Linked DNA regions of Oreochromis niloticus. The protein of the gene in region 1 purifies or fractionates together with the protein of each later gene. This does not show direct contact. Links are inferred from orthologs where the notes say so. Each region holds a gene or a part of one and is shown in the gene's direction. Other genes may lie near its edges.

What was found.
Region 2: the proteins of smc3 (region 1) and cdca5 purify together in Homo sapiens (affinity purification with mass spectrometry; 7 studies listed by BioGRID and IntAct, counting the BioPlex papers as one, with this or other methods). This does not show direct contact. The link is inferred for Oreochromis niloticus from reciprocal best matches to the Homo sapiens genes SMC3 and CDCA5.
Region 3: the proteins of smc3 (region 1) and usp13 purify together in Homo sapiens (affinity purification with mass spectrometry; 4 studies listed by BioGRID and IntAct, with this or other methods). This does not show direct contact. The link is inferred for Oreochromis niloticus from reciprocal best matches to the Homo sapiens genes SMC3 and USP13.

The regions. Positions count from the first base shown.
Region 1 is NC_031971.2:30,161,037-30,164,789, reverse strand, and holds the start of smc3 (structural maintenance of chromosomes protein 3), read left to right. Parts: upstream 1-1,196; 5' UTR 1,197-1,384; coding exon 1,385-1,399; intron 1,400-2,066; coding exon 2,067-2,142; intron 2,143-2,273; coding exon 2,274-2,312; intron 2,313-2,420; coding exon 2,421-2,488; intron 2,489-2,749; coding exon 2,750-2,821; intron 2,822-3,418; coding exon 3,419-3,498; intron 3,499-3,596; coding exon 3,597-3,675; intron 3,676-3,753. Other genes in the region: dusp5 (dual specificity protein phosphatase 5), read left to right, coding at 1-24. UniProt on the Homo sapiens protein: Central component of cohesin, a complex required for chromosome cohesion during the cell cycle. The cohesin complex may form a large proteinaceous ring within which sister chromatids can be trapped.
Region 2 is NC_031985.2:14,020,148-14,023,706, forward strand, and holds cdca5 (sororin), read left to right. Parts: upstream 1-1,369; 5' UTR 1,370-1,401; coding exon 1,402-2,184; 3' UTR 2,185-3,050; downstream 3,051-3,559. Other genes in the region: psmb2 (proteasome subunit beta type-2), read right to left, coding at 1,038-1,128. UniProt on the Homo sapiens protein: Regulator of sister chromatid cohesion in mitosis stabilizing cohesin complex association with chromatin. May antagonize the action of WAPL which stimulates cohesin dissociation from chromatin.
Region 3 is NC_031986.2:45,480,380-45,484,132, reverse strand, and holds the start of usp13 (ubiquitin carboxyl-terminal hydrolase 13), read left to right. Parts: upstream 1-1,517; 5' UTR 1,518-1,816; coding exon 1,817-1,927; intron 1,928-1,975; exon of another isoform or gene 1,976-2,312; intron 2,313-3,672; coding exon 3,673-3,753. Other genes in the region: ndufb5 (NADH dehydrogenase [ubiquinone] 1 beta subcomplex subunit 5, mitochondrial), read left to right, coding at 306-426. UniProt on the Homo sapiens protein: Deubiquitinase that mediates deubiquitination of target proteins such as BECN1, MITF, SKP2 and USP10 and is involved in various processes such as autophagy, endoplasmic reticulum-associated degradation (ERAD), cell cycle progression or DNA damage response.

The DNA.
Region 1 (3,753 bases):
AGCCCAATAACTGCACTGCCTTAAAATAAACTGTGACTGCTTGTAGTCTTACTTGAAAATATAAAAATCAACGCTCTCTCTGTGTGCCTCGTGTTGAATACGGCAGAGCAGATAGACTGGAGATCAGCCACAGACACAAAGAAGAGTCAAAGACAACTGTATTCATAATAGGACTTGAAGCCTATGAAATCCATGGGCTAGAGACACTGATGCTTTTTTCCTGTCTTCTGAACTGCAGTGATGAAACAACACAGCACAGTGATAAACTGCAATATACATGCCTTAGGTTGATATTGTGATTCATTTGCCTACTCACAAACATGGTCAGGCATTTAAACCTAATTTATTTGAAAATGATGGTCTGTTTTTTCAATAATGTGGATAAAAATATGTGTTTAATAAATGTTTTCACTGCAAAAACATTGTTGTCGTGTAATCTTTTATTGTGTATTTGGCAAGTGCCCTTTTTCATGCAAGCCAACATAAACCTCTTCATAAAAACAAGACAAAGGAATGACCAATATTTATGGGTTTAGATAATAAATCCTGTCTAGACAGGCATAAATGCAGCAGTAGAAGCAATAGTGACACCTACAGTGGCTTAGAGCTGGCCCTTGTGACTAGAGGTAAATTTAGATCAGAAGCCTTGCATCTGTTTCTTACCTATAGTCGCCTTCCACATAGCCGTATTTTTTATGCATAATCTATGAAAGCGATGAAACATGTCGCTTTCATAGAAAACTTAAACCAATGTTAATCTGAATTTTGAAACATCAACTCCTAGAAAATAATTAGTCAAAATTACTGTTACAAAACTGTCTGCACTGTGTTATTTAAAGACACTATAAATAATTTTGATAATAATTAATACAATAATTTTGATCATTATTAACACAGTCATTTTTTTTGTTTTTGTTTTTTACCGCTTTTAGTCTTATATTTCCCACTGCTGCTCATCAAAACAATTTTGGCGCCCAGAGCGCAGCCTGCTAGACTGTACCAACTAAACAAACAGAGAGGCGAATAAACAGCAAGATTAAAAGACCTAATGTTATGTCGCAAACATAACCTAACCGTAGATACACATTATATTATTGTTATATTTGAATTTTTACCTTTCATATGAATTATTTAGCTTCCCCACATGTAGGAATATAGTGCAAGGATATCCCTACAACCTGGTTTCACAAATTGGTATCATCCATTCTATCCCGCCCCCGCCGCCATTTTCCATGTTATTCTTTCCTGCCTTACAGTATTTTATGATTTTTAATGCAACAGTTTGATTGTTAAGTTTGGATTATTATAGTTGTGTTTTCTCCAGCTTGGCGCAGGGAGTGTTTCATCTCCAAATTTGCAGAGGAGACGCCCTGGATAAGCAGCCATGTATATTAAACAGGTAAGCTAACGAGACCAGACTGATACGTGTTGCCGACTGTTACTGGTCTAATAACAAGAATTAGGCCAGCTTAACGTTTTTCCACTGAATGATAAATATATTGCTATTATACTTTGAGTGAGGCTTCACTTCACAAAGTAACGTTGATTGGATTGCAAAACTGTGCACAGGCACTCCATAAATGGCAAACGTTGTGTAGCTATCTAGCTAACGTTAGCTAGCGCGATTTGAATTAGTGTAGAAGTGAATTGCCCGTCCCCTTCTCGAGATGCTAAGCTAACGCAACTAGGCCAGCCTTAGGTTTTCTGATTTATATGCTTCTTTTCATTGTTGTTATAACGTGTAATGTTGTATATGATGCAGAATACGAGAGTTTATTGTATAGTTGTCGGCTAACTTGGCATTGTTGATTTCAAGCCTTCAAAAATGTCCTGAATGAAAGTAGCGGTAGACCATCAGAGTGACCATCAGCCAAGGCCCCGTTGCCTCGTTTTACCTGTGATGGTGCTATTCAGCATAAACAGTTGACACATCTTATGTTTAAAAATATTCATAGACCCGGGAGCTCTTTGACCATGTTTACCTATAGTATGCGGTTAAAATGTTGCACTGAAACAGCTGATGTTGTAGTCGGTGTGTTCACGGTGGTCTCTGGTTCCCTGTGCAGGTGATCATTCAGGGGTTCCGAAGTTACAGGGACCAAACTGTGGTAGACCCCTTTAGCCCGAAGCACAATGTCATCGGTATGTGTTCATCCACATCTTTCCATAATTATTTTGTATTGCACCTGAGTTGCTAATCAGGTTTTTCGGATACTTTGTCCTATATGTCACCATATCCTCATTTTGTGTTTATTTTTCCCTTCATCTTACAGTTGGGAGGAATGGATCAGGAAAAAGTAACTTTTTCTATGGTATGAAGCCTCAAAACTTGCTGCAATATAGAATTCAAACATTTAGACTTCAGTGACATTGCTGGTTGTTATCTAAGACTTAACTTCCGTCTCTCTTTTTTTTTTTAGCCATCCAGTTTGTGCTCAGTGATGAATTCAGCCACCTGCGACCTGAACAACGCTTGGCCCTGCTCCATGTAAGTACAGGAAAATGTGAGTCCCATTACTGGGAACATCAGCCTTTAGTGGGAAGGTATGAATGCAAGCATGCTTGCTAAATAACAGATTACTCTCAGTCAAAATCTATGCATTTTTCTACCTGTGCCAATTGGCAAAAATGTTTTTTAAAAATTAACTTTTATCACAGTGCGGGTGATTTTGCTTTAGCTTTGACTAAAATCTCTTTGGTAGATGCCAAAACCTGTGTGTAAAAAATCTCTCTCTCCCTGTCACTGTAGGAGGGAACTGGTCCACGTGTCATTTCGGCTTTTGTGGAGATTATATTTGACAACTCTGACAACCGACTGCCGGTAGGAATGGCAAACATTTCAAATTTATTCTATTACTGTATTTTCTGCTTGATTTCATTGTGGTATTATTTAAACATTTACATAGGCCTCTCAAGGAATATGTGTGTATGTGTTAAATAAACGGTCACTGAGCCGCTTGTGGCTAAACGTGTGTATGATCATATAGCCTTTTTTCAGTGCTGATATTTGTTTCACAATTAAATTTGCATTATTGTTTACATTGGTTTGTATCAAAGTAAACCTCAAAATAAAAAAGGAAAACACAATAAACTAAAGTCAAAACAACCAGCAACATCAACCCTTTTATGCTTTCTTTTGTAACAAGACTCTTAATCTTGGGTATTAAAATGGTGAACATCCTTAGTCCAATTTAAGTTGTTCATGTCATATTGAATATTGAAGTCTCCTGGTGAGAACTGTTATGAAGACCACTGATTGCACTGCGTTGCCTTCAGTACACACAGTCCTTCTTATTCTGATGATGAAGGGCGGATGTCTGTGAAATGTTGTAGCCTGGTAATACTGTGGCATAACCTGCCAATTATCCTCCTCTGTGTGACTCTCAGCTTGCCCAGTGATAAATGCATCTCTTTCTAGATTGACAAAGAGGAAGTCTCCCTTCGTCGTGTCATTGGAGCAAAGAAGGACCAGTACTTTTTAGACAAGAAGATGGTGACGTAAGTATTGTGAGGGATCAGCTGTCCATGTTAAATTTGCCATGTTAAAATTACTGCATGTGTGATTCCATCTATTCTATGCACTCTTCTTGTTGCAGTAAGAATGATGTCATGAACCTTTTGGAGAGTGCTGGCTTCTCTCGGAGTAACCCCTACTACATTGTCAAGCAGGGAAAGGTGAGAGAGGAGTGCAGTGCCAGGCTCACTTTTTTTTTTCCTTTTTTTTTTAATGCACAGTAGTTTTGGGTGATGTGA
Region 2 (3,559 bases), on another chromosome or scaffold:
GTGGCACAGTGCACAGCGAAGGGTGTTTGCATCGCCATGGACTGAGAGGGTGCCCACCAGGAAAGAAGCCCCTGCTCCAAAATTGCTGACCACATGGACAAGACAACATGGACCAGTCAACGATCAAAGTATTACGGCCAGACAAAACAATAACTGAAATATGGCCACAATGACAAGATGTTGTTTGGAGGAGGTGACCTGTTAAGCCTGGTGGTAGCATCATGCTCTGGGGCAGTTTGCTGGCAGTGGTGCTGGTACTTTAAACAAAATGCATAGAATAATGATGAAGGGCTACCTCCAAATTCTTCAACCTCACCCCTATTTAACAGCTTGCAGGTTGAAGCATCAAGAAGTGTGGTCAAAACCCAGTCAGAATTATGCAAGTCTGTTGATGGCTTCCAAAAGTATATGATCAAGGTACAACTTGCTAAGGGAACCAAATAATCCTGAGGATGTGTGAATATATTTGACCCTGTGTGGGTTGGTGAAAATACGAAATAAATTGAAACTTGTTCTCCCAACTCTCATTTTTTTTATTCATTAAAGATATATGCTATACAATCATTTCACCCTGCAAAAAGAACAGATCAAACAAATCATTAATAGGTTAAAATTATCCATGGTGAGTGTAAGTAAACTTCCATTTCCACAGTGATGCAGTGACTTTCACTTTCGTTGTCAGTAACCTTCTTATGGCAGCTCATGCAAAGGTTACCAACTTTAGTTACGAATGAAATGTAGAGTTGATCTATTAGCTAGGAAAAGGTTATGATAATGCTGAGAAAAAAAAATCAAACTGCGATAGAACATATTATTTGCTACTCTACTGTTAGCTTTGTTAGCTCTAGTCACATTCACAGTGTATAGTTACATGTAAATATTTAGCAAAAAGAATTAAAAAATGGTTCAAGTACTACTTATTAGAAGCAGAAAGCCGGTTTAATGCATTTAGAGACTCTAAAATGTAGCTATGTTAGCAAGTATGTCTAAAATAACCGGCTATGCGGCTAAGGCTACAAGCTAACGCGTTGTCATACCGTGTTTCATCTGAATGATGCTGCTTGCTGCAACATTATCAGCGGCGACGAGGACAAAATCCTGTCCCTGTATCCCGATTAAATATTCCATTCTGTTGAACTGACAGAAGTTGGAGTATTTATATAAAACAGATTAAATTATGAGCAGTCTCTTTGCCTCGCCTGTATGGATTACACAGCAAAAGTTTGTGATAGCCGGCGCACAGTGTTTACGTCACAGCAAAGGAAGCTCGTGTTTTCCACGCGACGCGGGCGGGCAATTTGAACGTTCGCTGTTGTTGTGTGCCCTGTGTTGGTTGAGTTACAGTCTGATCCGCTGTAAGAGAAGAAAAAAGATCTGGAGTTTCTTTAGGAGACTGTTGGGATGAACGAAGGGACTCCTCGGAGCATAATGACGGACTCTAATAGCCTTGACAGCTCGCAGCGGAGACGTTCCCCGCGGCTGAGCTCTCCGCAAGCTCAAAGTGACAACAAAATGGCGCTGCCGTCTCTCGCTGTTAAACGCTCAATCACTGTGAGAAAAATAGCGCCCAGAAAAACAGTCGCGTTATCGGAACAGAACAAGGAGAACACGCCGAGGCCGTCCAGCTCTGAGGGCATCCAGCAGAAAAAGCAGGTCTCCACGCCCGGTCCCGTCCCCGGCCGAGAGAGCAGCTCTTCCTCGGCTAAGAAGAAAAAGAAGGCCGCTATGCCTTCACCGATCCTACCCTCATCACCGCCGCCTGCTTCTCATCCCTCGCAGATGGATCCAGAAGACGCGGTGTGGTCGCAGAAGGTACGCCGATCTTACAGCAGGCTCAGCGAGAAGTCTTTCAACAGCCCCGAGTCTCGTGAGACCTTATTCGGCTTTGAGAAGCTGAAAACCCCAGAGGTCCGGAGAGCCGGGGTGTCCAAGTTTGGCCTGGAGGTTTCCGCAGGATCATTTACAGGACTGAACTCATTCACGTCTTTGCTTGAGGCTGATGACTGCGGTGGTTCAGCTTTCCCCGAGCCGGACCCAGACATCCCCGGAGTGGCTGTGGTGAAGGAGAGGAGGAGGAGGAAGAAGAAGGTCCAGCAGATAGACACCACGGAACTTGACGCTCTGGCTGCACAGATGAATGCAGAGTTTGACCAGGCTGAGGAGTTTGAACTGGTCGTGGAGTAAATATTCAAGGGAAAAGAGAAAGACTTGGGCAGCATGCTTGTGTTTGTCACAGACATGCACACAAACACTGACTCTGGGAGGACTCTGCTGAAAATGTGCTTTTCTTACTCTAAACATTCAAGTTTTATCTGTTTTTATTTGTTCTTATTGTAAAGTTTGATCATTTTGGAGTTTCCTGTGTTTATTTGTTCCTGTAAATGCTCTTAATGTGATTGCTAGTCATTTTGTGGATGCTTGCAGACAGGATAGTTTTTGATGTTATAATGGCCCCATAGTTACACAAACAAGACCAAAATTAAAATTTTTAGATACATTCACCTGTAGTAAAATCAGTCAGGATGCAACAATATATCAGCAAATATCAGGGTTGTTGACTGGCGCTGGTATTTTTCAAATAAGATGCCTTTCACTGATTTTTATCTGGTGTGTGACCATCGCTTTTACTCTGGTGGGATGTTAAAGGCTTTTAAGACAGTTGTGTTCTTATTATAATCTTATTATGAATATTTCATTATCTCCCCTGGCATAAGGGTTGAATAAATAACAATAAAATGAAGACAAAAAGAATCTTGTGTCACCCTGGAAGCATAATACAGGGGGAGTTGTAGCCTTTAAAGGGGCAGTTTTCTACCCTGTAGAGTACATTTTGTTTCTCTTAATGTTTGTAATAGAGGCTGAAAACAAAAGATTTTGGTATAATTTTCTATATCTAAAACCAGGATATTTCCTCTTTTATAGAGTGTTTGAATCCACATTTATTGACACAAAGGTTCTATAGCAGTTGCCAATACTCTCGTCCTGAACTGTTTTCTTATGTGTCTTTTCTTGGAAATTTTCATGTAAATAAATGCTAAAGCTGGATCTGACTTCTGAGTCAAAGTAAATTGTTTTATCCTTTATTTTTCCCAAATTACACACAAATTCCAACAATATCTTAATTTATAAAACAAAAGAAATAGAAAATAACAAAGACGACCATCACAGACTTGCAACATTATAAATGGTATTTTCATCTTATTCCAGCTGTAAAATGAATATTACACAGAAATCTGTTTATTTAATCTGTCACTAGTATTCTGAGGTTTGAAATGTGTACTGAGTTATTGCCTGATGATGGCACTCAGGATTAGCCAGCACAGACTAACAAGGTGCTAACCAAGCACGCTGACAGCAAAGAGGTGGTCTCCAGTGGTTATGATGAGGTGAACTGAATGACTGAGTGGGCAATGTGTCTCTGTTTAATGAGAGTGGTGGACATTTTTCCTCCAGAGTCTCTTAAAGGAGTTGATAGAGGATCATTTGCACTAACAAGGAGCTATGTTCTGAGTAACCAATGCTTCTTGAAAACTTGTCAGGATTTGTTGATTTATTTATG
Region 3 (3,753 bases), on another chromosome or scaffold:
GTTTTTTGTTTTTTTCCTCTCCCCAAAGAAAACAGGTGCAAGTGAGCCTATGAGGGAACCATCTTTGGATTTTTCAGAACATGCTCTCTGAAAAATATTATATGCAGATTGGTTATTGAAATTGCAGAGATTGGTCAGTCTTGAGGAATCAATTTAAGTGTGTGTGCTGCAGCTGTGACAAATGTAATTCTTTGTTATTTTACAAGTGTCGTACATTATTAGTCTTCCTCACTTAACTGGTTGCTCATTTCTAAAGCATGGTGTTACATTTCTCTGCCTCTTTATTCATTGTTTTGTTGTCACAGACTGACGCAGCTGGAGGTGCGTCGCCAGATGAGGCAGCAAGGAGACGGCCCCTGGTTCCAAGTGCCGACCCTTAACAAAGAGCTAATTGACAACAGCCCCAAGTCATCACCTGACCATTAATCCAGATGTTTCTGTCATCTGTACATCAATCTCACTGTTTGTACATTTTTTCCCATATTGCGTGAATAAAGTATCTATATGAACTCTGATATTCATGTTTTAGCGTCTTAATTCGGTTCATGCAGCAAACACCTTCACCATGATGATATTACAGAGTTACAGATGATCGGGGATTGGCAGCTTGTGTCAAACCCACTGACACCACCTGTCTTCAGCTTGTGTGAATACTTCTGAGCTGAAATCATCCAATAAAGCTCAAGTTGAACAGTAAATCAAATGTGCATAATATATATGTAATTAAATTTTTTTGTAAATGTATTTATTTATTTTTGGCCGGGGCCTTCATTAAGGAGTTTGCATTTTCTCTGTTGTGTGCAGTTAGTGGGGTTAATTAGTGACTCTAAAAATCTCCTGTGGTTGTCTGTCTCTGTAGCAGCCCGGCATCGAGCTGACAACCTGTCCAGGATGTACTCGGTCTGTTGATAAAGAACAAAATATATCCATCTTTAAAATGCTTAGCCAGGGCTGAGAAAGTTTCAGCCAAGTGCAATTAAAAAAAAACCAAAACTGCACCTTACATTTATTTGTACTGTAAATTCTTCCAGATCTCTAAGGAAGGCTGGATTCCTCTTGGTTTATAGTTTATATTTTCTTGCGATAACCACGAGCGTCCACCGGGTGGCAGAGCTCTGCAGACAAGACTAGCCTGGTCACGTGGACAAAGGGCTTCTTTACACACATGCAGCACTATTTAAAAGTGGACTTAAAATCACATATCAAACATATAAATAAAAATTAGTCATCTGAAGTATATTTTTTGTTTATTATTATCTATTATTATTATTATCTATTATTAAATGACATTTACTGCTCTGTCTTTTTTTTAAATAGACCAAACCGACTGCAGATTGATAAGCAGCTACTAAAAATCAAAGTGTCTTCCATAATCACGCACTTCCTGAATCCTGGAAACTGGAAACATGTTGTAGTAAATGTGGGTGGTCTTATGAATCATCCTCAGAGGTGGGAGGGGCCCTTCTCGTAAAACATCCCCGTGAGCAGGAGCAGCACAGCGGCGTCACCACAGCCAACAGTAGCAATGTAATTTCTGCGCAGGTCCAAGATTTCTCTTTTTTTTGTGGTGGGAGGCAGGAAAAAAGAATAGAAAAACAAAAGAACAACATTAGCTTTCAGCGTTGTGCCGCACCGTGCAGCAGCCTGCCTGCCTGCCTCCACCCCTCTGTCATTTTATTTTTATGTTTTTCAACGTCACATCCCCCTGGTCGCAGGAATGTAGAGACGAAGTGCTTTAAAAATAGCATCCTCTCCTGTGACAGGCGCTGCCCCGGAGGCTCCGCAGCACTGTGGTGCGAGAAGCAGGAATGCGAAGATGGCTGCAGACCTAGGAGAGCTGCTGGTCCCATACATGCCCACCATCAGGGTCCCCAGAACAGGAGACAGGGTTTTCAAGAGCGAGTGCGCCTTTTCTTTCGACTCTCCCGTAAGTGTGCCTGTCGCCCCCCCTCCTCACACACACACTCACTCAGTGAGACACGAGCGGCTTGTTTGGGGAGAGAAAGTGCGTCGTAGGCGAGCTGACAGCTTGTTTTGCACGAGCTCAGCGGCGCACGTGAATCTGCTGTAAATGCGCGTGTCTCCATGGTCACCGTCTCCGCGAGCTTGGGAGGTTAAAAAACAATTAAAGGGTGTTTACGTCTCAGGCGAAAGGGATGAAAGGAGTTTCCTTTGTGTCCACTTCACACCACCCCACTACTACTGTAGGTCCTAACGCAGGCCAGTTAGACCAATAAACGGAGCCACACACCTACACCTGCCTGAAGCTGGGCTCAAATCCTCCACCAGCAGCAGCACAGCCGTGTTCAGGAGTGAGTTTACTGCTCCACTCTTGGGTTTTTATAGTCTATAATTTGTCTGAAAATGACCTAAAGTGCGCCAGTGGTGCTTGCTGGAACTGTGTCCACGGGGATGCTTCTGTTCTCAAACAGCCAGGATTTGTAGACGTTTCAAGACCTTAATGGTGTTGTTTTGGTTTTTAGTAGCCATTATGGCGTCACATGGTGTCTCCGCGACACTGTGACTATAACGAGTCAAAAAGTGAAATATTTGATGCTTCTGCTATTGCTCTCAGCTTTTTCTGTATATATTTTAAAATGCTTATTCTGCTTTATTTTTGTCATTTTACTTTTCTTCTGTGAATAGGACAGCAGTGCCATCATGAACACGGCGGCTGTTTTACTTTACTTGAACCTTTAAGGGGTTTTATGCGCTGATGATGCAGAGTTCAGTCCTTCCTGTACGTGGACTGAACCCTGCATTTTTTATATCTGTCACAGGTACCCTTCCTACCTGTGACAGATATAAAATTTCTTTGCCCCAGTGAAATCTCGCTTTCTCGACTGAAACCGTTTTTAAAGGTGACTCAGCTGTCTGGAGTTCATCATGTTGGCCTGAGGACTGGGTTATTTTTACCCTTGCACTGTTGAGGCTCATATGTCACTCTGGGCCACTTAAAGGTTTATCACGGGGAGGTTTATTAGGCCTGGCCTGGTCGCAGATTTAGGTTAGCGTTGAAGGTATATTTTCCAAGTGTTTTGTGTTCCCATGTGAAGTGAACTGTCAAAGAAAGGAAAAGGTTGATGTTATTGTAGATTTGAAAGCATGTTTAGGTGTCTGTCACCATTCACGTGGACTTTTTTTGATAATAACAAGATGACCAAAGAATCACGTTCTTCTCTAAAAGACATGACACAAGTCAGTCTGAGCTTACGGGCTGTTGCTAAAGGTAAAAATCATTCTCCTAAGAGCTCAGACATGTTGTTAATGAAATGAGTCTGCCTGTAATGGGACGCTTTTCAGTTTCAGAAACAACAGCATAAAATTGTTGTATCATGTTGCTCGTATGAAGCCTAATATGAGAGAATAATCAGTTACTTTCCTTGAATTAAATGACCTGTCAGAGGAGGCATTTGTATTCAAACTAATGCTTGTCAGCAGCACAAATGCTGAAAGGTGGAAAGTTTTTGGTGCAAATAATAATTCTTTGAGCGAGAAAGACTTTGGAAAGTGTCAGAATCACATCTTTGTGTTTGATATTACGGTGATGAGTTTGGCAAATTGGGCAAAATAGAAGATCCTGAAATTGTTCCCACGGTAAGAAATATTTCAAATGTGCTCATAGCGTGCCAGTTGTGCTTTCTCATTGTTACTGTTTGTTTTGCTCCGCAGGAGTCTGAGGGAGGCCTGTATGTGTGTATGAACACATTCCTGGGCTTTGGTCGAGAACATGTGGAGCGACATTATCGCAAA